Linked DNA regions of Diceros bicornis minor. The protein of the gene in region 4 interacts with the protein of the main gene of each other region in a biochemical or structural test. Links are inferred from orthologs where the notes say so. Each region holds a gene or a part of one and is shown on either strand. Other genes may lie near its edges. The genes, in order: MAST1, ARHGEF12, SNTB1 and RPS6KA1.

Region 1 (7,066 bases), on a different chromosome or scaffold from region 4:
TTTAGTATGAATAAAGTTGAAAGAAAAAGAGGCCCGCGGCAACCCCTGGTGACTCCCAGAAGTTTCTGCAAAAAACATTTGAGGAATCTCTCTGCCTCCTCCAATTTCGCCAAAGGCCCCCAGAAAATTCGTTTAGGGACACTCCAGAAACTCGCAGAGACCTCCGGAGGGAAATCTGAGATTCCTCCTCTTGACTCTCGAGAGAGAGCCCTAGGCGCCCTCCCCCACGTGGGGAACCAAGAGTCCCTCGATGGGCACCGTGCAGTCTGCGCTTGCGCGCCTCATCTCCGCTCCCCTGTCCTGTTGCTATGGAAACGGCTGGTCGGGAGTGCGAGGCAGGGGAGACTAAGACCCTGGGACCAGAGCGCACGCGCTTTCGCTCCGCGGCAAAGGAAGCCCTGCCCCTTTCCTGATTCCGGGTAGCTGGTTGTCCCCGCCTTCTTATAGGCCCTGTCCCTAAGGCTGGGCGCTTGCGCCCGCTGGGACGTTGGGGCACTCTGCGGGTCCCGCAGGCCCTGGCTCAGGTGCAATTAGGAAAGGAACAGATGGCGGCCCAGACAGAGGGTGGGGAGGGTCCGGCCAGGGTTCTGGGGCCCTGGGGAGAGGGACTCACCTTCGGGAGGAGGCAAACGAGAAGTGGGCAGGGGTGTTGGGGGAGAAGTTGCGGGGGCTGTCCAGGGGACTGCTACCTGTGGCGGAAAGAGGGGGATCTTTAGGCCTGGGGTGGGAGGCAATCCCATCAGACCTCCTGACCCCCAAAGCGGGTTGCAAACAGCAGTCCTACCCCTCTTTAGTCTAGTCCCACTCAAATTAGTTGGCCACACCCCCTTAGCTGTGGCCCCTAGTTTCTCAGCTGTTTTGGTTGTTGAGTCAGCCCACCCCCCTTCCAGGCCTTCATCTGGGATGGCCCCGCCCCTCAGGTATGGCTCCTCCTTTCTGCCCCATCCTGGGCCTCTGCCTGCCAATGCCAGCCCTCTGCGGGCTGACCACGCCCACACAAGGATTGGCCCCGCCCTCGTCCAATCCGGGCCCTCCTGTCTCCAGATTCGGCCCTCCCCCCACCTGTGGCATGTACACACCGCTTGCCCGTGGCCACGTCCCCCGCCTGTGGCCACGCCTCCTCTAGTCCGGTCCACACCCACCCCTGTCTCACCCAGGTGTCCCGGCAGTGGGGAGTGGGGTCGCGGCAGCGTGGGCGAAGTACTGGTCAGGATGAGGCTTTTCCGGTTACTGGTGCGGCAGCTGCGGGGAAGACGAGGCGGGGGCCGAGCTGGGCCGCAGCCCAGTGAGTCTGTGGGCCCACCAGCCTCCCTCCCATCTCAGATCCCCGCATGTCTCCCATCCGTGTGTGCCTGGAGGTGCCCCCGGAGGACCGCTCAGAGGAGGAGGCGATGGAGTCCTCAGTAGGACTGTGTATGGGAGGGGATGTGCGTGTGACGTGTGTGTGAGACTACCAGTGTGTGTGGATCATGTGTGACCATGTGGGGCACACTGTCAGTCATGAAGTGATAGACATGCTGTCTATATGACACCATGGGAGACACTGAGTGTGTGTCTTGGGTCTGCGTCTGACACTCGCTGTGTGTATCCACACACCTAGTGTGACATCATGTGTGACAGTCCTTGGGTTCCTCTTATGTGACACAACCTGTGCCTTTGTGTGTCTATGTGACACAGTGTGTAGTGCCACTTGCCCATGACGAGATGTGCCACTGTGTGCGCTAACATGTGCATGATGCATGATTTCTTTATACATGTCTGCGTCTTAGTGCGGCATTCTGCATCGGTGCAAGACCCTGTCTTGGCGTCTGTGTGTGACATTCACCATGTGTGTCCACGAGTGGCATCCACTGTGTGTGAATTTAACACCTTGTGACACTAGGCATGTCTGAGCATGCAACCATGTGTGACATTCCCTGGATGAGTCTTGTGTGTGATAACGTGTGACATTGTGTGTCTCTCCATCTCTGCAAGAATTCCTGTGTCTGCTTATTCTGGCATCTGTGTGACACAGCATGTGCCATGCTTAGATGATATTGTGTTGTGACACTGCTTGGGTGCATGGATGTCATTGCCACACGTGTCTGTGTGCCTCTCGATGGCATAACTGTGTGTGTGGGTCAGCATGCATGTGCCATCTTACTGCTGTGCACCACATTACCTGTGGGTTTACGCGTCTGTGTGGGACGCTGGGTGCCCCCGCGTCTGTGCACGCCTCTGACCTATGGCTGCTGCATGTCTGGGTGTGCGTGGCGCCTCCCGGGTGTATCTGGGCCACTAGGGCTGGTGTGTGTGTATGTGTGTGTGACATCATGTCCTGTGTGACGCTGTGTGTCACTATTTTCCGTATGAGGCTGTGTTCTCCGGGGGGGGGGAGGGAGTCTGTGCTATGATAAAAGCCCCCCCTTTCTTTCTGCCCTTCAGGATCCCAGCTTCCGAGGACGGAGCCCCCAGCCCCTCCATTTCCCTCACCCCCCGCCGCAGTGACTGAGCATATTAGCGCGGCCGGAGCACGCGGCATGGGGGTGGGGGGAGGCCAGGCTGCGGCTATTGTTCTGAGGGTGCCAAGCCCCCCACCCTCCCCTTCTTCCCCTACCCCCACCAGGCTGCGGAGCCCGCAGCACTAGCAGACAAAGGCGCCGCAACCCCCCACCCTGCGCAGCCCCCTCCCCCCGCGGCGGTCCTTTCCAGCCTGCAGTCCCCCCAGCCTCGGCCCACACCGCCCCCCGTTCAGCCCCATCCCTGGCAGGAAGGCGCAGCGCGGGCACCTCTGGCGCAGCTGGACCGGGTGCAGCATCCCGGGCCCCGCCCTGTGGCAGCGCCGCAGGGGCGGTTTTTGGGGGAGGGCCGGGTCAGGGTCTGAGGGATCGGGGGTCTACCTCTTGGTGCGGCGGAACATACTGCCGCCAGGGAAGGAGGGCATCGAGAAATTGGAAAGCGCGGTCCAGAGAGAGTCAGACATGACCCGGCGGCGGCGACATGGTGGCAGGTGCGGCAGCGGCGGCGGCGCGGGGAGCGAGCGCGCGGGGCGGAGGCTGGAGCCGCAGCGGGCAGGGGAGGGCGGGGGAGGGAGGGCCGTGCGGCCGCCGCCCACCGGGAGGGGGCGCTGCTGTGCACCGGCGCCTGGCCCCGCCCGCGCGCGCGCCTGCGCCCCCACCCGGGCCGGAGAGGGGGCGGTCAGCCGCGCGCATCTCGCCTCAAGGCTCACCTGCTGCTTTTCCGCGGCAGGGGCAAATCCTTCTGGAAGGCAAAGGGGCAAAAGGATAGAGGTCAGCGTGGACCAGCAGCTGCTACCCGCAAGCCCTGTCAGCCCCTGGAGGTGCAGAAGTGGGGTGTGACAGGCCCCTCATCAGCATTGTCACCTGCACTCTTGGCCATGCGCCGAGGACCGGGCTCCTTGGGGGAGAGGATACCAGGGTGATTCCTCTCCCGACCCCAGAGACCAGCACAGGGCCCCGTATAGGACTCCTGAGTTGGTGTCTCAATGTGTGTCTGTGCAAATGAACAAAGAGTTTTTGCTTGAAAAACATTTCTTGAGCACCTACTGTATGCCAGGCCCTGTGCTAAGCACTGGGGATGCAGCAGTGAATGAGACAAATAAAAACTCCTGCCTTTGGGGGACTAGCATTTAGAGGACAGAAGCAGACAATAAATAATATGAGTGTAGACGTGAAGGAGAAAATTTTAGACAGTAATAAACGTCATGAATAAAATTAAGCAAGGTGATGTGATGGAAAATGGATAGGAGGGGGACATGATGGTCAGAGAGGGCTGCTCTGGGGAGGTGACTTTTAAGATGGTTGCTGAAAAATAAGAGCCAGCGGGCTGCCCTGGCAGCGTAGTGGTTAAGGTCTTGCACTCCGCTTCGGCAGCCTGGGGTTCACAGGCCCAGATCCCGGGCGCAGACCTACACACCGCTCATCAAGCCATGCTGTGGCAGTGCCCTGCATACAAAATAGAGGAAGATTGGCACAGAGATTAGCTCAGGGCCAATCTTCCTCATCAAAAAAATAAATAAGAGCCAGCCATGGGAAGATCTTTGGGGAGAGCATTTCAGGTAGAGGAAACTGCAAAGGGCTGGAGGCAGGAATGAACTTGGCATGCTCAGGCATGCAAGGTTGAATGAATGAATGAATGAATGACTCCTCCATACCCCAACAGTTCTACTCCACTCCCAGCCAGGTTCACAGAGTTGGGGGGAGGGGTAGTTAGGGTGACTCAAAACTGAGATTTGAAATGGGAATCAGGTGGCAGCTGGGTGATCTTTTTCCATAATGGCATTGATAATAATTGATAGGTATTAACTTTGTGTCCACATCAGAAGCAGGTCATGTTCTGTTTTTCAAGCACACAGGAAGTCACTACAGGGACCAGAAATTACAGAGGTCTAACCCTTTTCCAAGAGCAACAGGGAAAGGGGGCGCCACCTTCCAGCCCGTTCTGTGTCCACAGGCTGAGGTAGGTAGGGCTGCAGGGGGGAAGATTTGGGTGAGGGTTTCAAAAGCCCTTTTGTGGGGACTCCAGCCAGGGGAAAATGAGGAATATTCTAGATCCCTTCTATGACTGCTGAAAGCAGAAAGCGCTGGATCCAAATCTCAGCTTTGCCTCTTATAACCTTGGAAAACGCTTCCAACAGTCCCTGCCTCCTAGAGGATTCTGTGAGATGATGCAGGTGCCTAGCAACTTAGCATGGTGCCTAGTACATAGTAAGTGCTCAATAAATATTGGGGCACAGGAACAGGAGTTATTATGATTATGGATGGACATGCTGCATGACAGAGGGTGGGCCAGAGGGACCTCTTACTCCCATGTCCAGAGGTTAGACATATGGTCGGGGTCAAAGGGCACACTGTCCAGATAGGCAGCCCTGCCCTCCCAAGCCAGGGGTGACCGGAAATCCATACCAGGATTTCCCCCTGTCTTTGCAGGATCAGCTTGAATGAGCCTCAGCTTGGACCAGCCGGCAGGGCTGCGCGACCGCAATGGCCCAAGCGAAATAAAGACCTGGAGTTTCCGGCCAAGGAGCCTGGGACTCCAGACCCGGGTACACTGGGCCTTCGAGGGTGAGCCCCTGGGAGACCTTTAAGCTCCACCGGGCGAAGTCCTCGAACCTAGTTCCATCTGCAGCGCCCCTAAACATTCTAGGGTTGAAGAAAGGAGCAATACTGGAGCGGTAGAGGATTTGGATCTTTGGCGTCAGTGTAAACAGACGCCACCTCCATCCCCAGCTGCAGAGCCGCTCTGCCCATCGGATTCTGCTCCCCCCGCCCCCCCGGGATTAATGGACAGCGCTGCGGCCAGGGCATTCGAACTCGGGATGCTGTCCCACATGTGCGATCTCAACTGCACACAAGGAACCCTCGGGCGCTCCGCGATTGTGGGACACCTCCTAAGGGGTTGCACCTGTGCATGAGGGTGTATCCAGGTAGCGAAGTGGTTAACCCCGCCACCAGGGAAGAGGTAGAGGCAGGACGCCGGCGGGGTTAGCCCGGCCAGGAGGACGCCTGGGGCAGGAAGGATGGGTGGGTGAGGGGGAGGGTCCTGGGCTAGGGGCGGGGTCTGGCGCGGAAGACAGAAGTCCCGCGTGGCGCTGAGCCAATGGGAGTCGGCGCCGGCCCGGAGGGCGGGGACACACCCCATGCAGGCCCCGCCCCCTTCCCGGGGACCCGACGGCGCGGACCCAATCTGACTGCTTCCGTACTCGCCCTGGCTTTGCTGCAGCTCCCTCCCTTTTCTCAGAACCCCTTCTCCTAACCTAGCCCTGGGATGGAGAGGGAAGCCAGGGAAAACCTGAAGAGCCCAAGGCCCCTGATGGGGCTATCTGGGCTCTGTTTGAAAGCAAATTAGTTTTCCAACCCAGGTCTGGCTCCAGCATCATCCAGACGCCTGGAAAGTCCTTCCTGCCGTCTGACTCCGATTTTTCCTGCTGCACTGACAGATCAGCCCCCCTTAGTCTCCATCTTCAAAGATGTTGAATTAGACGGGACCCTGAGTTCGGGCTGGAATCCTACCCTTCTTTTCCCAAGCTTCAGGCTAGGAATGTAGCTTGAGTCTGGGCCCACGCTAGGCTTTATCTAAACTCCTCCAGATTACCTAGCGAGGGGCTAGGCTCCAAAGAGGCTCAGAAGGACGAGACCCCAGGCTGGCCTCGGGGTGAAGTTTTGATCAGTTTCCCCTCTGGGGTCACTTTGGGGGCAACACCAAACCCTCGTATTAATCCTTAGAAGCGCACGCCGAAGACAGAAGAGGGCCCTTCTCAGCTTCAGAATCCCCACCTATCTCGGAGGTGGGAGTTCCTGACGCCAGGATTTGTCCCGCCTTCCCCACACTCCAAAACAATCCTCACTATCCCACTCCGTGCAGTGGACCCATGCCTCCCGCGCCTGCGCAGCCTGGAGACCAGCATCTTCTAAGGCTGCAAGGAGCTAAAAATCGCTCCCGCCCACCCACAAGCTGGGCTGGACTTGAGGATCGCGCGCGGGGTTGGGGGGGGGTGTTGTAGTGGAGGGGGGTGGAAAGAAGAGTGAGGAAGGAGGCTGCCCAGGTGTCTGTCCAATTAGAGCAGTGGAAGGAATCCTGGTGTCCAGGCAGGTGCATGCAGGTCGCAGGGGGTCCCCACGCCTCGGAAAGGGGCTCCTGGGGTGGTGAGGGGCCAGGCTGCCGCACAAACATGTTTACGGCGGCTGCTGGCGCCGCAGCCCCGAGGGGCGCGAGCCCTGGGGCAATAACTTTGCTCTGCGCCCCCTCGCCCCCAGTCTGGCGGGGCGCCAGGGCGATGACTTCGGCCCCAGCCCCCTCCCCCTCCGGTGGGCCAGGAGCCCCTCAGGCTATCCTCGAGGGGGAGGGCTAGGCTGCACCCCCTCTGCCAGCTCCCTGGATGCCCGGGCGGCGCCTGAGGGGCGGGGTCCCCAGCGCGGCGGGACGCGCGGCCACCGCGTTCCCCGCGGGTAGCGTCCCGAGGCCAACGGAGGGGGCGCCGGACCGACCCTGGCTCAAGTTCTCCCGCCCCCTGCTGGGCTCCGCCCCAGGGCGCCGACCCCTTCTTCTCCACCCAGGGCCGGGGCCG
Region 2 (6,848 bases), on a different chromosome or scaffold from region 4:
GGAAAAGCAAGAGTGTAAGCACAGAACAAGGGGATGGGAATCAAGAATTCCTGGGCTCTTTAACTAATTTTGCTACTCACTTGCTGGATCATTTGGGCAGGTCACTTGTTTACTCTTTGCCTCAATTTGAACCCTCTTGTGAATGAATGAAATACCCTGCTGGGTATTTCATAGAGACATTATGTGGCATTTTATTCATGGAGGTGTTTAATGTAGGGCTTTTATGAAAAAGTGAAGTATTTATTTATTTGTATATTTGTTGTTTATTTATTTATTTATGTTATTTAGATCTGTGGTGACTGATTAGCTCAGTTGGTAAGCAAGTGTATGGGGCTCTTGAAGTCAAGGCTGAAAGCAGGAAGTGTGAGCCCATCCTGTGGTGACTGGTAATCTTAACCTAATGAGTGGTCTTGAAAATGGATGTCATTGGCCAGGCATGACGGAGTGACTGGAACTGCATCAAGTCATCGTTGCTCTGGGAAAAGCAACTTTAAAGGCATGTTAACAGTGGGTCTTCTAAAATGACTGTCATTTGGTGAAAGAGTTTTGCTGGACATGGAAATAATCTGACAGTAGCATCTCCATCTCTATTTGTCTATGATCAGTATCCCTAAAATGCTAGTTAGCTTCCTCCTAACAAATCTGTGGTCAAAGTAGGATGCTGGGGAATGCTGATTTTAGCGAAAGCCTACTAAAAAAGTGGCTTGGTGCATGAGCTCAAAAAAAAAAAAAAGAAAAAGCTGGCTCTTGAATTTTGGCACAGTGTAACCTGTTCCATACCAGACAAATGAATAGGCTTAATCTGGTACCAATTCTTTTCTCCTTACTCTTCAGAAATGAAGGGATTGCAGATCTTGCTGTTTTGGGGTACTCTCATGGGAGTTTCTTTGAATTTTGAGAAACCTAAACAATGATAAGGGAAAGAGAATTCCTCATTTCAACTATTCTTGATGTCATAGCTAATAACTATGAAGGAAACTCTCTGAGAGAAAAATGTGAAATGAATATGCCTCAGCAGTTGAGATGCTGAGTTTTTACATCACAGGTAAATGAAGGGCTAATTCACATGTGGTGTGGTTGGACAAAATGCAGGACTCATTTGCATTTGGATTACTATGTAATAATTACTAACACTGCTCAAGAAGGATTTATATTTCAATAAGATTTGTACTAAATTTTATAAAAATAAACAACTTTTTCTCAACCTAGAGTCTGCGTTTATATCTTTGTTGTGGTTTTGCCAAGAAGTGGGGAAAAAAGTCTTTTGACCTGTAGAAATGTTGACCCATATTTATACTTATTGGTGAATTACCTCTTATCTGCTGCTTATCATCAACCATTCCTACCATTCTTTACTTTTTGGAGCAACACTCTACATACAGAAAACACTTTGCCAAAAGAGAGAGGAAGAACCTAATTTCTTTCTTATTTTGCCACCTGTGTGGGCAGTTGCCTTGAAAATGATGATGTTGAGTGGGCTCCATGAGGACACAGCCTTTGGCTCTCTTCAGAACTGTACTTCCAACACCTAGAACAGTGTTAGATGCAGAGTAGGTGCTCAGTAAGCATGTTGAAAGAATGGATGAGGGGAGGAGAATGTGGTTTAGAATAACCCTCCAATGGAAAACCTGCTCAAACAGCATGCACAATGGATTGTGTCATTTTTCTAGGCAAAAGACTAACGACCCTGGGGAGTGTGTACTACCTAGATTGGTGTGACTCTTCTGAAGGCGTTCTGTAGATAGAGCCCTTTAGAACAGTCTAGAGCTACCAACAGCTGTAAAGAGGCTTTCACAGACATTTTACCATTAGCGCTTTGTGGGTGAATATAGAGATTTTCATCATTAAGAAAAAATAGTTCTGGGCTTAATTAAATCCTTTGCTTACCATCTTCTGAAGCTTTCCCACAGCAAATGCCTTCTTTGCTCACAGCTAGAACTTTGGGTCTGTTTAAGTTTGGAAAGATCTTGAAAGCAGTCTGCCAAGAGGTTTTGTATGCAAGGAAGAGAAGGTGAATTAGGAAACTTGCCCAGTTTGTTTTATTTCTGAAGCTCAAGTAGTGAGGCATTCTTGAAGGGAAGTGGGGAACTCGTTTTTAAAATGCATAATTTGATGAGTCATTGGGTCCAATTAATTTGATACCTACACTGTAAAATTATTAGAATAGGGCAAAAAAGATATTTAGTATGTTTAAGAAAGATATACGTTTGGAGATAAGGTTTGCATTTTGGTCAGTGTATATAGATGGATGGAGCTCTTTCCAGTTATATGTAGAAAATACATAATTTCATTAAAAGAGTTTTCAGGATAGAATTATCACGTTAGGGTACACCAGCAGGTGGCAATGTGTCCTGGTCTGATCATTAGGAAAGTGGCTTGGAACCCTAATCTGCTTCTATTTTTTCCCAAAATAAACATTACAAAATTAGCTGGCTGTGCCCTGAACTTAAAAAATTCAAGCAATAAAGAGTCATCTTTGGCCTCTGTTTATCTTTTCCTTTTTTTACCCCGTTCTAACGTCAGCCTTAGCTCATGCATCTATTCAGGGATAATGATCCTTTCATGAACTGTTGTAGGTCGACTTTTAGAAACAGCATTGTTAAGAGGTAATTGTAACTGTTTCCGCTCGCCACATCCACTGACGACTAGATTTGCTTTGCCACTTGATTTCCACAAAAAGGCTGAAGACCACCAATACGGGTTTAAACTCAAAAGTCTGAAAATAGCTGGATAAAGGGACAGCCACTTTAGACCTTTAAGGGAGGAATGGAAGAACTAAATTGCGTGTTGTACTTAAATTGCTACAATACCGAATTATGCAATCATAAAACTACATAGATATCTAAATCTAGCTACATAGTAGGAAAAAAACAACGAAAGAATATTTGGGAACTCTTCAAAGAGAACTGTAATGCTGTTTACTGGATAAATACAGTATACTTTATTTTCTGCCTTTATTTCTTTCCACAGCAAGCTTGTTAGGTCGCTGTGGAAAGCACCATGTTTTCTCAATTTGGCAAATAATACCTTTCATTTTGCCAAGGCAGAAGCAGCTTAAAAGCAATATTATCCCAAGAAATCTTGGCTCCAATTCCCAAACTCTCTTTCTCCCCAGCCCTGCACACCCCCGTCCTCCAACCCTCCCTCGGCAGGCAGGACGCGTGCGTGGCGGCCCCTGTCCTGAGACGAGGCCAGCAGGTGCCCCAGGTGAGTGGCCAAGGCCAAAACCTCCCTTTGCTGGGGTTTGCTTCATAAGAGAGGGACAGTGTCCAGGCACCTGGACCTGAGCTCGCTTCCATCAGTCAGAAGCAGTCTAAACGTGTTAGCAGAAAATCGGAAGAACAAGTACATTCCCTCAAGGAGTAAAAGTTTCTAGGACAAGGGGGCGGGTGATGGCCAAAGAGCCTCTCAGCCTGAACACCTCGGGGTTGGGGGAGCGCTCTTTGGCGGTCTCCGGTTAAAGCTGAGTTAGCGCAAGCTAGGCTCCGAAGTACAGATACCCGGCATTCCCGGGGCCCCAGGGGCGACGGTGGGTTGCTGAGTTGGTGAGTGGGACTCCCGGGTACCGACTGTTCCCACCTCGTCCCGCAGAACTACTTTCTCGCTCCCCCACACAAGACTCCGGCGGAGGCGTCGGCGGGGGCGGCGGGAACTCGCGCGAGGCGAGCGGGGGCGGCGGGCCCCAGGCGGGAGGGCGGCGCGGCGGCCCTGCGCGCCGCGGAGGGATCCCGGGTGAGGCGGCTTCCCGAAGTCAGAGGGGAGGAGGCCGAAAAAGTCGACGGGGGAGGGGACGAGCGAGCTCGCGCTGGACACGGCCGGGGTCTGGAAGACAGAACCGGAACCGGAACCCGGGCGCACGCCTGCGAGTGTCGCGCGGCCCCCACCGCCGCCGGCCTCCCCCGCCCGCCGCGCGCGCTCCCGCGAGGGCCTCAGGACCCGGCGAGCCAGCCGTGCGCTCCCAGTCGCCGCCGCTGCCGCCGGCCTCCGGGGCCGGCACTTCCACGCCGGGCCGGACCGGAACCTCCCGCCCCTCGCGGGAACCGCCGCCCTCGGCGCGTCGGGGAGGAGCTGCCGCCGCCTCTCCCGACTGCGGAAGAGTCCGGGCCTCCGCAGGATGGGGAGCAGCCCGCGGCGCTGAGACCAGGTTCCTGTCACCTCTGGCTGCGGGACCCGCTCCGCCGGCACCCGCACCCGCCCCGCGCCTGGTGGGGGCGGCGAGGAAGACGAGAGGGCTTCCCCGGCCCGGGGACATGGAGCCGCGCGAGCCTGGCGCGGGACGGTCCGAGACGCGGCCGAGGCTGCGGCCACGAGCGGCCGGCAGTCCCAGATAGAGCGGAGACGAGAGGGCGGGACGTGCAGGCCCCGAGACTCCGGAGGAGGAGCCGACGCCAGCCCTGAGCTGGTCTCGCCCCAGCCCCGGAGGGATTCCGGGCCCCCTTCCCTGCGGTTCTCCGACTTCCCTCGGTGACGAAGTTTTCTCCCTGTGCCTTTTCGAGGATTGATCTCTAGAACTCGCCTTCTGGCAGACTTCCTCGGGTTGTTTGGGGAGATAACTTGTTTTGCTCCACCCCATATCCCCTTTCCTTGACTCCTTCCAATCGGACGTTCTAGATGACTGCATGGAGTTTTGAGTTGGACTTTTGTGTCCCTTACGGAGTCGGGCCTGATCCCAGAGCACTGGGGGTGGGGTGGAGGTGTTCCTGTAAAATGCAAGTTGGATAAAAGGAGGACCTCTCGCCAAGGGCCCCAATGAGTGGCACACAGTCTACTATCACCGACAGGTTGGTATGAAGCTCCCCCTGCGCTCAGCCTCCCTGGATTCGGCCGACCCAGCAGGAGAGTCAGTGATTGCCTTTGACCAGCGGCGTTGACAGGCACAGGAGAGAAGGTTGTTTCCGAGCTCTGCAATATGTCTAGGGTTGCTGCCGAGTTACCCGGTTGATTGAATTTGGAAATGTAGTTTTTTCTGGAGAGAAACTTTCCTCCAGATTCTCAGAGCAGGGATAGGTAAAACCATGATTGTGGTTTTCTGCCTGTAGTGTGCGTTAGGATTCTGTCCTTATTTTGGAACCAGAGGAAGGTCATTTGGGGTGAAGGTCAGTGCTCGAAGTCAGCTGGGGTGTTGGTGCATCCTCGGTTTTGATTCCTGTCCTGTTGTTTCTGGACACTGTTACTTTTTAGGAATTTCTGTTTGTGAATTTCATTCTGAGACTGTTGCATAATGATTTATGAACTTGATTTCCTTTAAGTAATTGACCTGCACAGTGTTTATTATCTAATAATTTTCCAGAATATTGAAATTACTAGTAAACCGCAGGCTTTTGCTGGGGGCAATATCAAGGAGCTAAAAAAAGGCGAAGAAAAATAATGGGGCTTAATTTTAATTATTGTATTTTTAGTGTTTCGTCTTCCAGAGACATTTGCATTTAAGGGATACAAACCCTAAGCGAATTATGTAGTACAAGTGTGACAGGTGGATTTGTTGAGTTCTGTGAGCCTTTTATAGTAGTTCTTATTCTATGTTGCCTGGTGTTGTTTGGTTAATTGAGGTAGGCCATTTGTGGTTTAAGTGGAGTTCCCTTACTCTTAAGAGTTATTCTTTGGAATATTAGGTTAAGCAATAGAAGCATATTAAGTCCTTTACTACGTTTTATTTCTCAATTTAATTATGACATTGTATCCTGGTCCCAAATTTCAGTCACCTTTTTTTTTTGTCATGTTTCAAACTGTTACATCATTAAAAAAAAGATCAAATAACTGAATAAGGGGGCCAAAGAAGGCACTTTGATGAAAAGTGCAGCAATAGTGCTCCTGCAGAAAGTAGTTGAATTTCCTAATAAGAGTTTTACCCAATTGTAAGACTCATTTGTTGATTTTAAAAGGGCCAAATTCCATTATCATACCATAACAGCGACTCCAGAAACAGAACTTCCTCTTCCTGTTGATGCTTTCTAGTGTCACGTGGATGTTCACCTAAAAGATTCCATTAAATATTTAAACTATTTATATTTATTCTTTGTTCGTGTATTTTTTTTAAAATACTTTTTAATTTTCAACTTTGAGAGTACACGTAACATGATTAGCAACAATGCTCATCTTGATTTTTTCTAGTTATTCCCATTCCTTTTTCTTTTGGGGTGTTTTGCTTCTGAGAAATCACTTTCATGGGTGTGTGGGTAATTGTTTCCGTGGTTCATTCAATTCTTACCCTCTCTGCTGAGCCTTGGACAAAAAGTCTTATTAAAGTAGTGTTGGTAGTTTTTATTGTGATGCGAGGGATGTTAAATGTTGTGGAAGCAGAATGTTGGGTCATCAGCTCATTCCACATGAAAATCACCTAAAAGCCCCCAAGTAATGACTGTTCTTCCCCTTTGCTTCTCAGAGATTTTCTTCCTCTTTCCATTATCTTGGAAATAAAATCTTGAGATGTGTCCTTTTTATGACTTAGATAAAATATGAATATACAAGAAGCATGCAATTATTGAACGCCTGTTCTTTGCTAGGCACAAAGGATTGAAAGATGAGTATTCTAAGAATAAGATGAATCTGCAGATTGGTTTGAGTATTAATATGCTTGAATTAGTTCAGGTGCTGCCTGATTTTATATATTTTTTAGAAGAAAAAAGAACTTTAAAAGCCACTTAATTTAAAATGCACTACTGAGACAGTATGGATGTCTGTTTCGTAGGAATGTGCTACTAGTTTGGTTTTTTACAAGAATTATTCTTATGTAACCATTACTTTTTCATTAAACATAAATTATTCCATAAATATCAAGCATCCATTTGCTTTTTAGGAGAGTGGTTGTCTCTGATTTGAATATATGTTGGGGTGAAATCCAGAAGTAC
Region 3 (8,007 bases), on a different chromosome or scaffold from region 4:
CAGAATATGAGACACTCTTTTGAATGGGGCCGATGCTTGCTTCTCTTAATAGCAGTGGATTTCTGAAAACTCAGGATGGGGATAAGGTAAGCCCAGGTGCTTCATGTCTAGGAGGCCCACAGGTCTTTCCCAGATGTCCTGCTTACAACACATGACAACGTGTTGTGAGAATGACATGTTAGACGTTTACAAAACTCACTTTTCAGTTGCTGCATCAATACTCACATAACTGCTTGATTTTATTTTTCTTTAAGTTTATTTTCAACTGCAGGGAGTCATCTTTTCTTCCTCTTTTTTGGGTGAGAGATATTTTTCACCTCTTTGCTAAGTCATTATTCATCAAATTGAAACCAAGGAGAAGAAGGGAAAAAAGGCACATAATGAAGGGCAGTGCCTGAAATAAAAATGACCTGCCTTTCATCCCCCTGATATTTTACAGTAAATATTGAAGCTGTGCAGGTGCCCAGTAGTTTATAGTCCAAACTACACTTGCTCCAGATCCCACCTGCCCCTTGTCACACAATCCAACACACACTTGAGTCAAAAAAACTTTTTTATGTTTACTTATATTAATCATAAGCCAAAGCAAATAGCTTGCCACTTTCTGGATCCAGGGTAGCAATTAAATATGAAGACATCGCAAATCCTCTAGACCAATAAGGGGGAGAAAATCCTCTGTATTCTAGGCCAGGAGGTGGGCCATCATGTACCAGACAGTTGCATCAGCTGTCATATGTAACAAAGCTGGTTTCCCAACTTTGAATTTTCTCAGTTTCACAGCCAGCACAACTGTTGAGCAGGAAATTGATTTAAGTCCTTAATTTAGGGACCTAAATCAACCACCAGTTTACAAGGGTCTCTGTCGAAACATTGTTTCAATGGCTATGGGTTCATTTATTCATTCACTCAGCATGCATGTCACTGAGCACCTAAGCTCAATGGAGAGGACCCATAAGCAAATAAAAGACCCCAGAACTCAGTCTACAGTTAGAGGGAAGATGAAATAATTACATGATATTAGTGCTGACAGAGTTTTGTACAAAGTGAGCTAAGGGGCAGAGAGACAGATATCAAGAGAGAAATACAGCTGCAGTGGAAAGAAGGCATTACCCACAACTTCCCCACTGACCTTCTCCGGAAATAACCACACATAACCACGAGAGGGTACAAACGATGCTACCTATTCTACTCACACGCAGTAATTAGGGGATTGGGGACATCAGATCTCAAGAGAGTAGTTTCTAAGATGCCTCACACACAGGGAAACTGTTTACAAATGCAAAGTTGTTTCCACACCACTCGGGAAGAATCCCCGGAAAACTCTGGCAGAGAAATCACTTCACCAGCCCTCCACCCAGCGCAACCTGGAATCCAGACTGACGGGCCTAAAACCTGGCAGCAGAAGTGAACGTCTGCATAAACTTCCCAGCCCGTGGCACAACTCCCCAGCCATCACCCCAGCTTCCAATCTGAAAGGAGGGAAGTCTTGAAGGGTGGTCGGAGCTTTAGCCTTCAAACACTGCCAGCGCTCTCCGGCCCCTTTATGTTTCAACCCTTTTAGTTGAGTTGCCCGGGCTTCTTTGGAGAAAATTATGCCAAAGCAGAAAACTATCCGAGTTGCGGTTACTCAGTGTGCTCGCTTCGTAACGTGGACGTCTACTCTTCATTTTCAGTTCCACTTCCCAGCCCCTACACGACACTTGGATTATCCGCGGATAAAAATGAGACAACGTGCACTAAGCATGCAAACCGTGCTTGGCACATAGGAGCTCAAGAATCCCTGCTCGCCTAGCCTTTTCATACACCCTACTGGATCAAAGCCAGTAACGACTCTAAGTGGGGACAAGTTGCCCCCAGGTGGGTAAAAGTTGTCAAAACTCCAGGCCGCCCCCACTCCCGGCCCCCTGGGGTGTGAGGCACGTGGGTGAGTGTGAGAGTGCGGCGGGAGGGCGAGAGGGTGTGTGCGCGCCCGGCGCGGCCCGCGCGGCATTAACCCCTTACCTTCCAGCAGCACTTCCTTGCCAGCGCGCTTCAGCGCCTGCACCGCCTCGTCGTGGGTGGCGTCCCGCAGGTCGGCTCCGTTCACCGACAGGATGGCGTCGCCCACGTACAGGGCTTGGGTCTGATCGGCCGCCAGCCCCTTGAAGATCTTGCTGATAAGGATGGGCATCTTGTTCTCCTTGCCCCCCTTGATGCTGATGCCCAGCCCGCCCAGCTCCTGCTTCAGCACCTTCACGCCACGCTTCTGGTTTGAGATGGACTCGGGCACCTGCTCCGGGAGGTCGGTGAAGGCGGTGCGGACCCCGGCGGGCGAGTCCGGGGGCTGCGCGCCGCCCGCGCCCGGGTGCCCGCTGCCGGCGCCCTTGCAGAACGAGCCATTGGTGGCGGTCCCGATGCCGTTGTACGCCGCAGCGCCCTCCTCGCAGCTCAAAACCAGGGCGTCCTCGCTCAAGTTCACCAGAACTTTGTGCCAGCGATCCCGCACCAAAACTTCCAGCAGCCCGCTCCGCTGCGCGCGGCCGCCTCCCCCGCCGACCGGCCCTGCCGCCGCCGCCGCCGCTACCGCCATCTTTCCGGCATTCTTAAAATGCCATGTGATTGCAAAAGGGGGGAAAAGTGGGGAAGGGTTGCGCGGGGAGGACGCGGGCCCTGGGGGAGCGAGGAGCGCGCGCCCCGCGGGCAGGAGGCAGGACGTGGGACTCCACTCCGGGAGTTCGCAGACGCGCTCGGCGCGAGTTGGCAGCCGCAGCCAAGCCGGTTCCCCCTCGCCTGATCCTGGGCGGGGTGGAGCAACCTAAAAGAAGAAGGAGAGACAGAAACAGGGGACGGGGAAAAAAAAAAAAGCCAGCTGCCAGTTGCAAAACCCCAAACCAAGGGGAGCCGCGGAAGAGCTAAGCGCCGGGGAGAGTCGGTAGGAGGAGGCACGTCGCGGGGAAGGGCGGGGACCCGCCACCCGGCGGCCGCTCACCTGTTCCAGCCGCCGCAGCCTCGGCTGTCACACGCCGCACGCCGCCCCAGACCCACCCCGCCTCCCTCCTCCGAGCGCACGGCGCTGCAGGGACAGCTTCCCAGCGCCTTCTCTCCACCCCGCCCCAGCCCTCTCGTCTCGACTCTCCCTTTTCCGCGGGCGCCCGCACCTCACCTTTGCCTGGTCTGTGTGTCCTGCCTTGATCCCCTCACTCGATGCTCCTGATCCCCCATCCCTTTCATACCCTCCACTGAATTGTCCCTCAGTCCTAACCCCCAACTGTATCTAGATCCAGGTCTCCTCACTACCAAGGCTTGGCTTCTCCCGCTGAGTTCTTACCTGTCTCTCCTTTCCGCGAGGACTCTCAGGTAGACGCAGACGGAGGCCCTGGGTTCTCTGAGAGTCAAGAGGGAAGGCTGTCCCAAGAACCCAGAATGAAACGTCAGCATAACCCGAGTGCCCGAAACTTCCTGTCTTCAAATGCAAGACATCTTTCTGCGGGGTCTCTGGAGAGGTGTCTCTGCTGGCCGGGGTATTCAGCAGCTCACTGCCTGGCCCACACCCCAGGGACAAATGTTCTTCCAGCTCCAACACATTATGTGCTCTATGCTTCTGACCTTTTTTCCCCAATGCCACACCAAATGCTTCCTGGGACTTTCTCTTTCTTCCCAAGATCTGATATAGGAAGTCCACTATTTAAGAACTCAGTTACATGGATTGTATCTCAAAAGTTCCTTTACAAGTTATGTATCGGGAGTTCAAGCTGCATTTTTCCAGGGCAACAATATTATAATCGTTGGTTACCTTCCCAGGCCAATCCGGAAATGCCAACCTAACCCATGTCATAGCTGAACCTCCCACGGTCCACCTGGTCCTTGAACCTCTCAATTTCTCCCCCCACCCTGAGCAGGTCTCATGGACCTCTCTAAGTGTTTCAGCCTTCTCATTTACCTCCCCTTTCCATCTCTCTCTTTCTTCTCTCCAAAAACAAAACAAAACAAAACTCACAAATCTTCGAATTCTTAGAGGTAAACCCAATCCAGCAAGGTGTCAGGAAGAAGGAAATCTTATTTGAACACATTCCCACTGATGTGTATCATCTCTGAGAGATCTCTAACCCTTCCAGAATGACTCACACTTTTAACTGAGAATGCTTAAAATGCAGACAAATCCCTAAAGGGTGGTTGGTGTTCCAGGTAGGGTCACAGAATAAAATGAAAATATTTGGACTTTTTTTTTTTTTGTCAAGGAAAAGTCACTGCTGGCAGGTCAGCAGGAACTCTTGGATTAATGCTTCTGCTTGTATCATCCTCCTTTCCTATATTTTTAACCCACTAGTTTTCCAAAAGCTCTTTGTTCTTTCACATAAAGTTACCCACGGCAGGGACAGCAGCCGCTGTGTGCAGGACTGGACAGGGAGCTGATACAGGTGGCACCACTGTGGGGTGGGAAAACCAGCTGGGACTGCCCTCTGCTTTAAGGACTGAGGACTCGGGCATATGGCTCATCAGGAAAATCAGAGCCTGAGTGTCTGCATTCTAACCCAAGCACACTAAGGTAGAGATAAGCACCAGAAAACCAGTGTGTTGATTTGGAAATCAAAACAGATCTGCCCCTGGGCCAAAATCCTCCATTCACATCATGCCTGCATCTTGCTTCTGTGGTCAAGCAATGTGGGAGGCCCAGGCATAACTGGAAGTAATTTATCGATTGGCCATGAGATATTGCAGGCTCTGGGATGCGGATTTCTCAGAATCTCTGTGATAAGCACATTTTTTCTGTGTAAGCAAACCTACACAAGAAGGAGTAGGTTGCTTGTTGAAAATGACATCAGAAGGAGGAGAAACAAATATTTAACATCATTAGGCCCGAGGCATGCATGCTAGCCAGAGATGACTTTGCCAATGAAATTATAATAAAGCCCCTATTCTAAGTGCTATACATATATTAACTTAATTCCTCCAGCAATTCTTGGGGATACTTACTGTTATCATCAGTCCCATCTCACAGGTGAAAAAATAGAGATACAGGTTTAATAACTTGCCCTGGTCATGTAGCTAGTGAATGGAAGAGTCGAGATTTGACGCCAGTTTTGAAGAGTTTGGACTTTTAACTATTGTCCTACACTCTCCTGAACATACTCAGAACCTATAAGCTAAAGTGTTCATCTTACACCGAGGCCAGCCTTTCCACTGGGAGGGAAGCCCAGAGAGTGAAGACCCTTCCCCTAGACGGCACTAGAAGTGTAGAGCCAGCCCTTGCCTCTGGCCTCTCCTTCTTTCCAAGGTTAGAGAACACTCTGCTCTCCCCTAATGGACACAATTTTTTTCTTTAGACACATTAATATGTTTAAACAGGTGACTGTTGTGGTCTTGCTGGCCTAGAGACCCTGTCTTATCCCTCAGAGAACTCCGCATATCTGACCTCTGATTGGTAACGCTGACTCTCAGAGGTAAACCTTACTTACCTCCTTTCTTAGTTCTTGGTGGGAATTGGGACTACTGCACTATAGCCCCTTAACACTTACAATAGGACAGATCATATTTTCCTAGGGCTCTCCTTTTAAAGAATGGTCACTGGAAAGGACCAAAAAGACTTGCAGCTTCCTCATTTTATAAGTGTGGCATTTCAAACCCAGAGTAGAGCAATGACGAACCCAAGGCCACATAGTGAGTTTGTGGCAAAGTTCTCAACTGGGTCATGGTGACTACCAGTCCAATTTCAGTATTCTAGCCTTTCCACCTGAAGGGGCCCTTACTTTTTTTTTTTTTTTTTTTAACCACATTTCTTTTGCTTAGCTCTGTCTCTGGTTCTGTTTCCTCCTTCTGTCCTACACTTTTGACTTCCGTTTCCTACTCAGCCAAAACTGGGATCCTCCTGTGTGTGCCCCTTTCCTGTGGGAGGTGCATTTCCCTACAGAGGTTTGGGTGGACTTAAAACTACAAGAGCCGATCACACAGTTCTCAGCTCCACAGAGCTGAGGATACGTGAGTGAGCCGCCACATGCGACAGAAGGGGCAGTGTCCATCCATTCATTCCACAGCTTTGTTGTGCACCTACCGTGTCTCAGGCACTGTTCTAGGTGCTGGGGTATGGGAGCGGACAAACTGGCAAAAATGTGCTCTGTGATGCTTCCATTGTAATGGATGGTAGGTTGAGGTGGAGAAAAACTGTGAACATAAGATACTTTGTGGAGAAGTAAGTACTAGGAAGAAAATAAAACAGAGTCATAGGGTCAAGAGTAACTAGGGGCAAGGGACATCTGGAGGTGGCAGCTGTTAAGGAAAGCCTCTGTGAGAAGGTAAATTTTGGGCTGAGACATGGATGATAAGAAGATGAGAGTCTTGCAAAGATCTAGGGAAGAGGGTTCCAGGAAGAAGGAAGAGCCAGTGCAAAGCACTTAAGAGAGGACCAAGCTTGTCTAGTTCAAGGGACCAAAAAGGGGTCGCCGTGGCTGGGGCAGCCCATGGGAGGCAGAGAGAGGTAGGAGGGGAGATCAGAGAGATAGGCTGGACCAAATCACAAGGCGCAGCCGTGGAGGATTACAACACAGACCATTCTCCTTGTCCTCTTTGAGCTTCAACAACCATACATTTTGGATTGTCAGGGGCAGTCTTGTTTCAATATTACTTCCTATTAGCTACTGAGTAAACTTCTACTGGTTAGAACACATGCTCCAATATTTAGATTTGGAAAATATGAGGATTGTATTTTTGGTACTGTTCCCTAAAGAGTAGGTTGAGCATCTTTAGGGGGATTAGTCCATATACAAGATGGAGAGTGGATACAAGGGCAATAGTGAAGAAGAGAAAAATGGAAAGCTCCTTGATATCTGGGGGAGAATGAGAGAACAGAAGAAGAGAGGAGCAAGAGGGGGGCTTGAAATGCAAAACTCCTAAGATGAGGCATACCTATGTGAATATGTATTGACTAAACGCTTATTGAGTAGCTACTCTTCTAAGTAACTGAGGCAGGTGCTGGGGGCAGGCCCATCCAAAGATGCAAAGGTAATTAAGACAGGAAGACAGATATGTACACAAAGAGCACATGGCGACAATGTGGCGGCTGCAATGCTGAGCGTGAAATGCGTGGAGGTAGCCAGCCTTTAATTGCAAATCATAATGTTGGGTTAGCGATTCTGATTTGAAAGATGAAGCCCTGAGACAGGAGGATGGCACAGGAACAGAGGCTGAGCAGCTGCTTCTCTGGGGTTTCCCACTTGGCTAACAGGTGCATCATCAATTTTAAGTGGGTTTGCAAACAACTTCTATTGCAAGTACGTGGCATTTGCCTGGGCGGATCCTTGGTAAAGTAGGTAGACTACCACCCAGACTATCAGCCATCCAGTCAGTCGGGTGAGAGTTCTTTGAGTGCTCACTGTGCTTAGAATGTTGTAGTGGGGAGCAGGACTAGCCCAAGGCAGAATTTAAAGTACTTAGATGTTTATCTTCCACCTTCTCTTATAGAGTTCCACTTCTTTTACTTCCCTTCCATAACTACTGTTGTTGAAACAAACCTTACACCAGTCTTTTAGTATCTATGATATAAATTTAAGTGACTTTTCCTAAGGGATTATGCATTTGATCCTTTTTTAAAACTGTACAGTGATAGGTTAGATCCCATATTAAAGACATGAACAAAATGACTCTGAAATCCTAGTAGGCAAGATATCCCACCACATACTAGAAACTTCAGCAAGTTGGCCTTAGCGGGCCTAGAAGATGTCCTGGTGTGATGGTGAAGAGGAATAAGAAATCAGTTTCTTCCATACACATCTTTAAAATATGGTAGCAAGAAAATGAAAAGTTAAGGATGATCTTGAAAAATGTTGAAAGCAGAATTGATAGGGTCTGGCACTCTATTTGGCTTTGGGGAGCAAAGGAAAAGATTGATTTTGGGGAGAGAAATTCATAACTATATGCCAACTTTTGAATTGCTTCTATGCATAATTAAACTAGAACTATACAAAAATAGCCCCGATTAATTGCAAAACTTGGAAGCCCAGAGGCAGAAGACACATTTATAGGCAAATGTTCCTG
Region 4 (7,104 bases):
TGTGGCTGGGCTCTGTCCCTTCAGCCTGCCCTGCAGAGACCCCGAAGCAGTAAGACTGTCCATCTAATCCAGGAAGAAGTTCTGTTTACAATGTCCCTTTGTCTCTGTGGCCCATTTTGCTTCCAGAAACAACCTTCTTAGAGTGAAACATCTCATTTTAACCTCTATCTTACAGAGGAGGAAACTGAGGCTCAGACAGGGAAAGAGATTGGCCTGGGAGCACTCAGCTAGTGGGTAGCCAGTTCTTGACTTCCCGCCCTGCCCTCTTGGCCTCAAGCCTCTTGTTCACGCTGGTCTCTCTCTACATGGAGTGTCTTTTTTCCTCCTTTCTGCCTGGCCAAGTCCTGTTCATCCTCAGGGTCCAGCTGGACTGCCTCTGCCCTGGAAGGTCTTCCCAGCCCTCACCCCAGGCAGATAGTTACCGGCTCTGGGCACCCTTAGCACCTTGACTGCAGCTCTGTCTGGGGACAGTTGTGTTTTGTTATCGTGTATTTATTTTCAAGAGCTGCCTAAGGACAGGGCCCCAGTCTGCCTTAACATGTGCGCCTCCTAGTGTCTGGCTCCTGGCCTGGGGACAGAGCAGGGGCCCAGTAGCTGTGAGTGATGTCCAGAGGGGAGGCAGGCTGGCCAGCCTTGCTGAGAGGGTGATAATGCAGTGCTTGAGAGTGTAAGCTTTGGAAGCAAACAGACTTTGATTTTGCTCTTAGTTTTCCCCCTTTCTAGCCACATGGCCTTGGGCAAGTCACTTTCTCTCTGAGTCTAGTTTCCTCATCTCTGAAATGGGATGACAGCACCTCCCTTGGAGCTAAGACATAGAGCCTAGCAGAATGCACACCAGCAAAGGTTGAAGGAAAGAATGGCCTCGTGCAATAAATGCTCAATTATTAGGAGGCACACTTCTTGCTGCCACTCCATGCCAGTCCTAACCTAGTGCCTGAGGCCAGCTTCCCCGTCAAGGATGCTTGGGAACTGTGGACCCCTCCTCACCTGCCCAGAGGCGTGCTGGGAGACGCGTCTGGGGACATCTGCCCCACCAGAGGGGGCAGCGCCTGGGAGGCCCTGCGGATGCTGCCAGCTGGAGAAGGGGCTGTTGGTGTCCGTTAGGGCTGGAGGTTGGCAGGTGGGTTTGGGCTGCAGCTGGTAGAGGGAGGCCCAGGGTGGGGACCCTACGGACCAGGGATCAGGCTGGGGGGCTCTGGGCTTCTCTCCCAGCTGCCTTGTGGGAGGAAGTAAATAAGAGGAAGTATCTATGGGGGGAATGGGGCAAGGGACCAAGGGATGTGGTCTGATATCTGTCCTCCCCCACCACTGCCACCAGAGGCCTCACAGGCCCTGCACATACCCTTCAGCGAAGGCAGCTCTGAGACTGTTTCCTTCCTGTTGCCCCTTCCTGTACCCTGCTAGCCACAGAGTCTTCCTTTGCTTCTGAAGGACTTGAGGGTTGGAGGTTCAGCTGGCGCTGGACCAGAGAGCTTTGGGGCTCCAAGGGCTGCCCCAGCCTCCACACCCCTGACTGAAGAAGCTGGGGTGCAATAATAGGCCTCAGTCTAAGGAGGCATCTTTCACAACCCCCGGCAGACCATCATCAGTCTGTTATTGGAGGCCCTGTGAGGACATGAAGGGGAAGTCCATGTGTACGTGGGGGCGTGTGTTTCCACATAGAGGATGTCTGTGGAAATGGTTTCCGATCATCAGCCTGTGTGTATTTGTGTGTGTGTCAGTTCCTGTGGTGTACGGGTGTGAATGATATGGCAAGACCACGTGGAAGGGGGCTGGGCCTGGTCAACCCCTGTCCCATGGCTACCTGCTCCTCCTCAGTCCTCTGTGAGGTCCTTGCTAGGGCCTTCTTCCCCCTTGCCCATCCCAGGGCCCTGGACTGGCAGGCTTCTTCGGGGTAGGGCTGGGTGTGGTGGTGCCTGCTCTGTGGGCTGCCATTTTGGGTGGGCCCAGCTACGGGAAGGTCACTACAGGGGAAGGAGTGTCTACACTTTGGGCTGGGGCAGTCAGAGACTGTGGCCTTGCTTACTTGCTGACATCCCCACATTCTCTCAGGGAATCTTTGCAGGTGTTGGGATGCCCACTGTGTCACCGCCTCATCGCCTTGTGACTTCTTTCTGGGTTCTGGTCTTCTCTCTTTAGGATCAGAGGAGATGAGGAAGGGTGTGTCCCTGGGCCCCCTCTGGAGTCATGGGCTTGGGGTCTGCGGTGTCCCTTCCTCAGCAGGGGAGCCTGACCCATCTTTGTCCCTCCTCCCTGCAGAGGGGGAAGTGAGAAGGAGGGGGTCAGCGACCCTGCCTTCTGGGCCGGGAAGGCTGAAAAAGCAGAAGTAAGGGGAGTAACGGGGCCCTCTGGCCACCGGCTTGAGCCCCACCATGCAGACCCCGGCAGATTTCCCCAGGGTTGAGAGAGACTCACTTCCCTGTCTCAGAAAGGTGAGCAGAGGGTTGGCCTGCCTCCAGTGGTGTCTGTCACCATGACTCTGGGCAAGGAAGGGGTTTAGGGGTGGCTCTGTCCCCTGGGGTTTCCGGATGACTGCCTTTGTCCCCAGGGAGTGTTTTCAGTCAGAGGCAGACAGATAGGTGGAGGCTCAGAGCTCAGGGTGGGGTGGGCAGGGGTTGCTGTGTGGCTTTGGCCCACCTCAGTCCCTCTCTGAGCCAGGCTTCCTGCGTGTCCTGCCCGGGGTTACACTCAGGGGCTTGATTAGCCTGCAGCTTTTGGTGGCTGCAGCTGTTGTGGCTATTCAGGGTCCCCTGAAGATGGGGCTGTGTCTCTGAGGGTCAAGACCTGGAATGGGAAGTCCCCAGACTGACCCTGGTACTGAGGGAGGGGGTGGGCTTGGATGGGCAGGACATGGCTCTGGCTCACTTACCTGCCCACCCTTTCCTGGCACTTGAGTCCTGCTGACCCCAGGCCAGGCGGTAACCAGGGGAAGGACTTGGGTTCAAGCCGGCTCTGCCACTGGTTCCCTTTGAGCCTGGGTGAGTCACTGTCCTCTGGGCCTCAGTTTCCTGTTCCTGAAATGAGGGTAACAGCTTTTGGGATATTTATATCAGAGTGAAAGCCATCAGATTGCACTCAGGAGATGTCCTTCTCAGCCCACTGTCCTAGTCCTGGGCCCTCCTCAGGCCCTGGCGTGGGAAGAAAATCCCAGAGAAATGGAAGGCCTCAGAGATGGGTCTGCCACAAAGACTGGGCTGTTCTCTCAACTGCTGGGGGTTTGCAAGTGATTCCCTCTCACCTCTTTCCCCACCCTGAGGCAGACCAGCAAGAACCTGGAGCTCTGCCCTTGAGTCCAGGGTCTGATTTTCTATGTATCTGTGTGTCTTTCCTGCCTGTGTGGCTGCCCTGGGTGTCTGTCCATCTACTTGGGCCTCACGGACTCTAGCTGTCTCTGTCTGCTGCCCACCTGCCTCTGTTGTTGAGTGCCTGTCTCTGTCTCCACTTGATGAGTGCCTGTCTTCACCTGTTGGGTACATGTGACATGTTGAGTGCCTGTTGGGTCATGTCCCCTTCTGTCTCCACCTGTTGAGTGTGTGTCCCCATCTGTCCACCTGTTGGATGCAAGCCCGCATCTGCCTGTGCCTATTGGGTCCCCATCTGTCTCTGCCTGTTGGGTCCATGTCCCCATCTATCTTTGCCTGTTGGATATGTGTCCCCATCTGCCTCTGCATGTTAGGTGTGAGTCTCTGTCTACCTCTGCCTGTTGGGTGTGAGTCCCCTCCTGCCTCCACTTGTTGGATACATGTCCCCATCTGTTTCCACCTGTTGGATATGTGTTCCTCCTACCTCTGCCTGTTGGATGCCTGCCTTCATCTGTCTTTACCTGTTGGGGGCCTGCCTCTGCCTGTTGGATATCCCTCTTTATCTGCCTCTACATATTAGGTGCCTGTCTCTGCCTGTTGGGTACCCATCTACTCCTTAGCAGCTGGGTTGTCCTGGGGCTTTCCCTTTGCAGGCCCACAGGGAAGATGAGGGGGAGGGCCAGAGGGCAGCCCTCAGGCAATGGGGAGGGGGGAAGAGAGAGGAAGGGAACGTGGTGAGGGTGTAGGCCTGGAGCTGGGAAACCACAGGCCCTGAGTGATTGGCGGCCCTGAGCCTGGCCCAACCCCCGCCTTCACCCTGCACATCCGCCTTGGGCCTGGCCACCTCCGCGGCAGCCCAGGACGCTGCCTGCTCCTGCCATGGTGCCTTGGCCCTGCCGGGCGGATGGAGCAGGATCCCAAGCCGCCCCGTCTGCGGCTCTGGGCCCTGCTCCCCTGGCTACCCAGGAAGCAGCGGCCCAGGACCAGCCAGACCTCTCTGCCTGCCCCTGGCCCTGGCTCTGGCCCCAGGCGGGACTCGGTGAGTGCGTCCAGATGTCTGGTCCTGGCCTGGCTGTGGCCCTTGGAGCAGGTGTCTGGGCAGCCAGGTTGGCCTCAGCTGGCTTTGGGCTCTCTTAGCCCAGGCTTGGCCCTGCTGGGTGACTGGACTCTGCCCAGACTTGCTTCCCTGGGAAGTGAGGAGGGAACCAGGGCTCTGGGGCAATCTTGGCAGATTGGAGGGAGAGCACAGGGGTCCTAGAACAACTAGGCCCTGGCAAGGGGTTTCTAGTAGACTTGTATGAAGGAAGTTTCAGAGGGTGGCGGCGTGGAGCCTCTGGCCTTAGCTTCCTACTTGCCCCAAACTGGCACTTACTGGGTTGGTGGGGAGTCTCAGGTGACTCTTGGGTCCTTATGCATCTCAGCCCTGTTCTTCTGACCAGAGGGATCCGATCATCCATCCTGACCAGGAGCAAAAGCCCAACTCTGCCTCCCCAGTGTGAGAACAAACCCTACTTCCTATTGTGGCAAAACCAAAATCTTTGCAGCAGGGGGAGGGGTGCCCCACAGGGAGGACCTGGGGCAGGTCTGTGGGCCTCAGCCAGAGCCTGGGGTTGGCTCAGCCCGGCTTGCCTGGGCATCTCTTTGGGCCTGACCAGGCCAGAGCAGCAGAAGCAATAGGAGCAGTGCCTCACCTGACCTGGCATCTTGGTAGTTTGACCCTCCCCGGCCTTTGAGGCCCTTTTGTCTTGATGAACCCAGAGTCTGGCTCTGTCAGGGTAGCTGTCTGGTTGGGCCTGGAGGGCCCAGTCTGCTGAGGTCCAGTGGGAGTGGACTTGGATGGGGGGACATGCCCAATTCTGGCCTGGATGGGAGAACTGTGCCCACCATCTCTATCCCTCCATCAGGATGAGGGCATCCTCAAGGAGATCTCCATCACGCACCATGTCAAGGCTGGCTCTGAGAAGGCCGACCCATCCCATTTTGAGCTGCTCAAGGTTCTGGGCCAGGGATCCTTTGGCAAAGTGAGTCTTGAGCCCACAGCTGGGAGGGCAGCACTGGTTGTGTCAGAGGTGGGGGTAAGGAGTCACGTTGGGGCTCAAAGGATCAGAGGGCAAGGGTTGATGGATCTGAGAGAAGGATGAGAGGTCACCTTGGTACCCAAGGAGGGCAAAAGGTCAACTTGGGGCTCAGGGAAGTTAGAGGTCAGCGTGGGATCTGGAGGATGGGAGCTGATGGCCTCAGCCCCATCCCCAGCTTCTCCTCTGCTTTTTCCTGGCTGCCTTTTCAGGTCTTCCTGGTGCGGAAGGTCACCCGGCCTGACAGTGGGCACCTGTATGCCATGAAGGTACTAAAGAAGGCAACGCTGAAAGGTGAGTGGAGGACACCTCCCAATGCAGAGCCCAGGCTGGGTACGGGATTGAGGAGACAGCCCAGCTCTCAAGGGCCCTGGGTCTGATGGAGGAGATCGCTCTATCCCCAGGAGCGCTGGGTAGAAAAACAGGCCTGTTCTCAGCCGCCCCTTACCCCCCACCCCAACTGATCGCAAAGACAGGATCCTGCAAGCCAGGTGCCAATGACCGTAGCTGAAGGTGAATGTCTAGAGGGAGGTGGGATGAGTGCAGTGTGTTTATGGTGAGGCCTTCAAATATGAGGCATCAGATTGGTTGGGCAGAGGCCTTCTGTCAGCAGAGTTGCTTCACAGTGCTAGAAGAGCCTGAGGGAGACCTCTCAGGGTGGAGAAGGGCAGGAGGGAAGAGGCAGGGAGCTCGGGGAAGCAGCTGGGTGGGTAGGAGAGGGTGAGTCAAGGCATTGCCACGGAGATGGATGGCAGAGAGGTTCAGAAGGGAGCCCGAGCCCAGGTCTAGAATTCTAGTACTTACAAAGGGCATGAGGGTGATTGGTAGTGGGCTTTGGGCTGGGCAGGGACTCTTTGACCAGCCTGGGAACCAGTGCGACCACTTACCAAGTGGAGTGGGCCCTAGCTGGGGTGAGGTGGGTAGAATCAGAAGGGTTGGCTTTGGGGACATTAGGGGTCATATGGCCCATGAAGGGCTATCTGTGGGGGTAATGTAGCTTTGGTGCCCCAAGGCTGGCCTGATAGGGGTGATAGTCATTCCTCAGGAGGGATGGTGGGAGCCACGGGGGAGAAGAAAGATGAAAAGGCTTGGTCCCTGCTGTGAAGGGCTCCCAGGCTGTTCGGGAGAGGCTGAGCAGACCCTGGGAGTCTGAGAGGCTGTGCAGTCGGCACTTGGGACCCAGGAGCCCCGGGGAGGGTGGGTGGCAGCCTCACAGCGAGCAGGCTCACATAAGGAGTAGCCATTTGAACTGTTCCTTGAAGGATGCATTAGGAGCTTTCCAGATTGAAAATGGTGGAAGGGTACCCCAGGAAGGAGGAACTGTTTACCTAAGCAAAAGCATAGGGACGGTTTGAAAATGTAAGGTGTATTTAGGAAACAGTGACTGGAATAGTTAACTCCAGCATGGTCCCTGCCATGGCTGGTGAGAGAAATAAAAAATTAAAATAGAGGGTGAAAGGTACTCTGCAGGGGGAAGCACAGCGTGGTAGGAGAGAGGGCCGTGACTCAGCTTGGCAGGTTAAGGAAGACTTCTTGGAGGAGGTGAGGCCTGAATTGAGTCAAAGAAGAACGTGCTGATGATCAGAATTGCCTAGGGACTTTTATTCTTAAAAAAAATTAAGTATGTGGGAGGTGCCATGAGTCTGATTTTTAGGCCCAGGGAATCTGCCTTTCTAACTAGCTCCCCAAGTGACTGTTCTCACCAGCCCCCAGACTGGAAATGGGGG

The links.
Region 1: the proteins of RPS6KA1 (region 4) and MAST1 interact in a test that uses a peptide from one of them, tested with the Homo sapiens proteins (2 studies listed by BioGRID and IntAct, with this or other methods). The link is inferred for Diceros bicornis minor from reciprocal best matches to the Homo sapiens genes RPS6KA1 and MAST1.
Region 2: the proteins of RPS6KA1 (region 4) and ARHGEF12 interact in a test that uses a peptide from one of them, tested with the Homo sapiens proteins (2 studies listed by BioGRID and IntAct, with this or other methods). The link is inferred for Diceros bicornis minor from reciprocal best matches to the Homo sapiens genes RPS6KA1 and ARHGEF12.
Region 3: the proteins of RPS6KA1 (region 4) and SNTB1 interact in a test that uses a peptide from one of them, tested with the Homo sapiens proteins (2 studies listed by BioGRID and IntAct, with this or other methods). The link is inferred for Diceros bicornis minor from reciprocal best matches to the Homo sapiens genes RPS6KA1 and SNTB1.

Annotation. Positions count from the first base shown.
Region 1 is NC_080769.1:4,532,792-4,539,857, forward strand, and holds the start of MAST1 (microtubule-associated serine/threonine-protein kinase 1), read right to left. Parts: upstream 3,009-7,066; 5' UTR 2,963-3,008; coding exon 2,880-2,962; intron 1,243-2,879; coding exon 1,154-1,242; intron 690-1,153; coding exon 614-689; intron 1-613. UniProt on the Homo sapiens protein: Microtubule-associated protein essential for correct brain development. Appears to link the dystrophin/utrophin network with microtubule filaments via the syntrophins. Phosphorylation of DMD or UTRN may modulate their affinities for associated proteins.
Region 2 is NC_080746.1:16,732,437-16,739,284, reverse strand, and holds the start of ARHGEF12 (rho guanine nucleotide exchange factor 12), read left to right. Parts: upstream 1-3,830; 5' UTR 3,831-4,749; coding exon 4,750-4,781; intron 4,782-6,848. UniProt on the Homo sapiens protein: May play a role in the regulation of RhoA GTPase by guanine nucleotide-binding alpha-12 (GNA12) and alpha-13 (GNA13). Acts as guanine nucleotide exchange factor (GEF) for RhoA GTPase and may act as GTPase-activating protein (GAP) for GNA12 and GNA13.
Region 3 is NC_080760.1:36,701,961-36,709,967, forward strand, and holds the start of SNTB1 (beta-1-syntrophin), read right to left. Parts: upstream 3,002-8,007; 5' UTR 2,969-3,001; intron 2,795-2,968; 5' UTR 2,570-2,794; coding exon 2,002-2,569; intron 1-2,001. UniProt on the Homo sapiens protein: Adapter protein that binds to and probably organizes the subcellular localization of a variety of membrane proteins. May link various receptors to the actin cytoskeleton and the dystrophin glycoprotein complex.
Region 4 is NC_080752.1:42,391,175-42,398,278, forward strand, and holds the start of RPS6KA1 (ribosomal protein S6 kinase alpha-1), read left to right. Parts: upstream 1-4,087; 5' UTR 4,088-4,206; coding exon 4,207-4,341; intron 4,342-5,206; coding exon 5,207-5,323; intron 5,324-5,589; coding exon 5,590-5,671; intron 5,672-7,104. UniProt on the Homo sapiens protein: Serine/threonine-protein kinase that acts downstream of ERK (MAPK1/ERK2 and MAPK3/ERK1) signaling and mediates mitogenic and stress-induced activation of the transcription factors CREB1, ETV1/ER81 and NR4A1/NUR77, regulates translation through RPS6 and EIF4B phosphorylation, and mediates cellular proliferation, survival, and differentiation by modulating mTOR signaling and repressing pro-apoptotic function of BAD and DAPK1.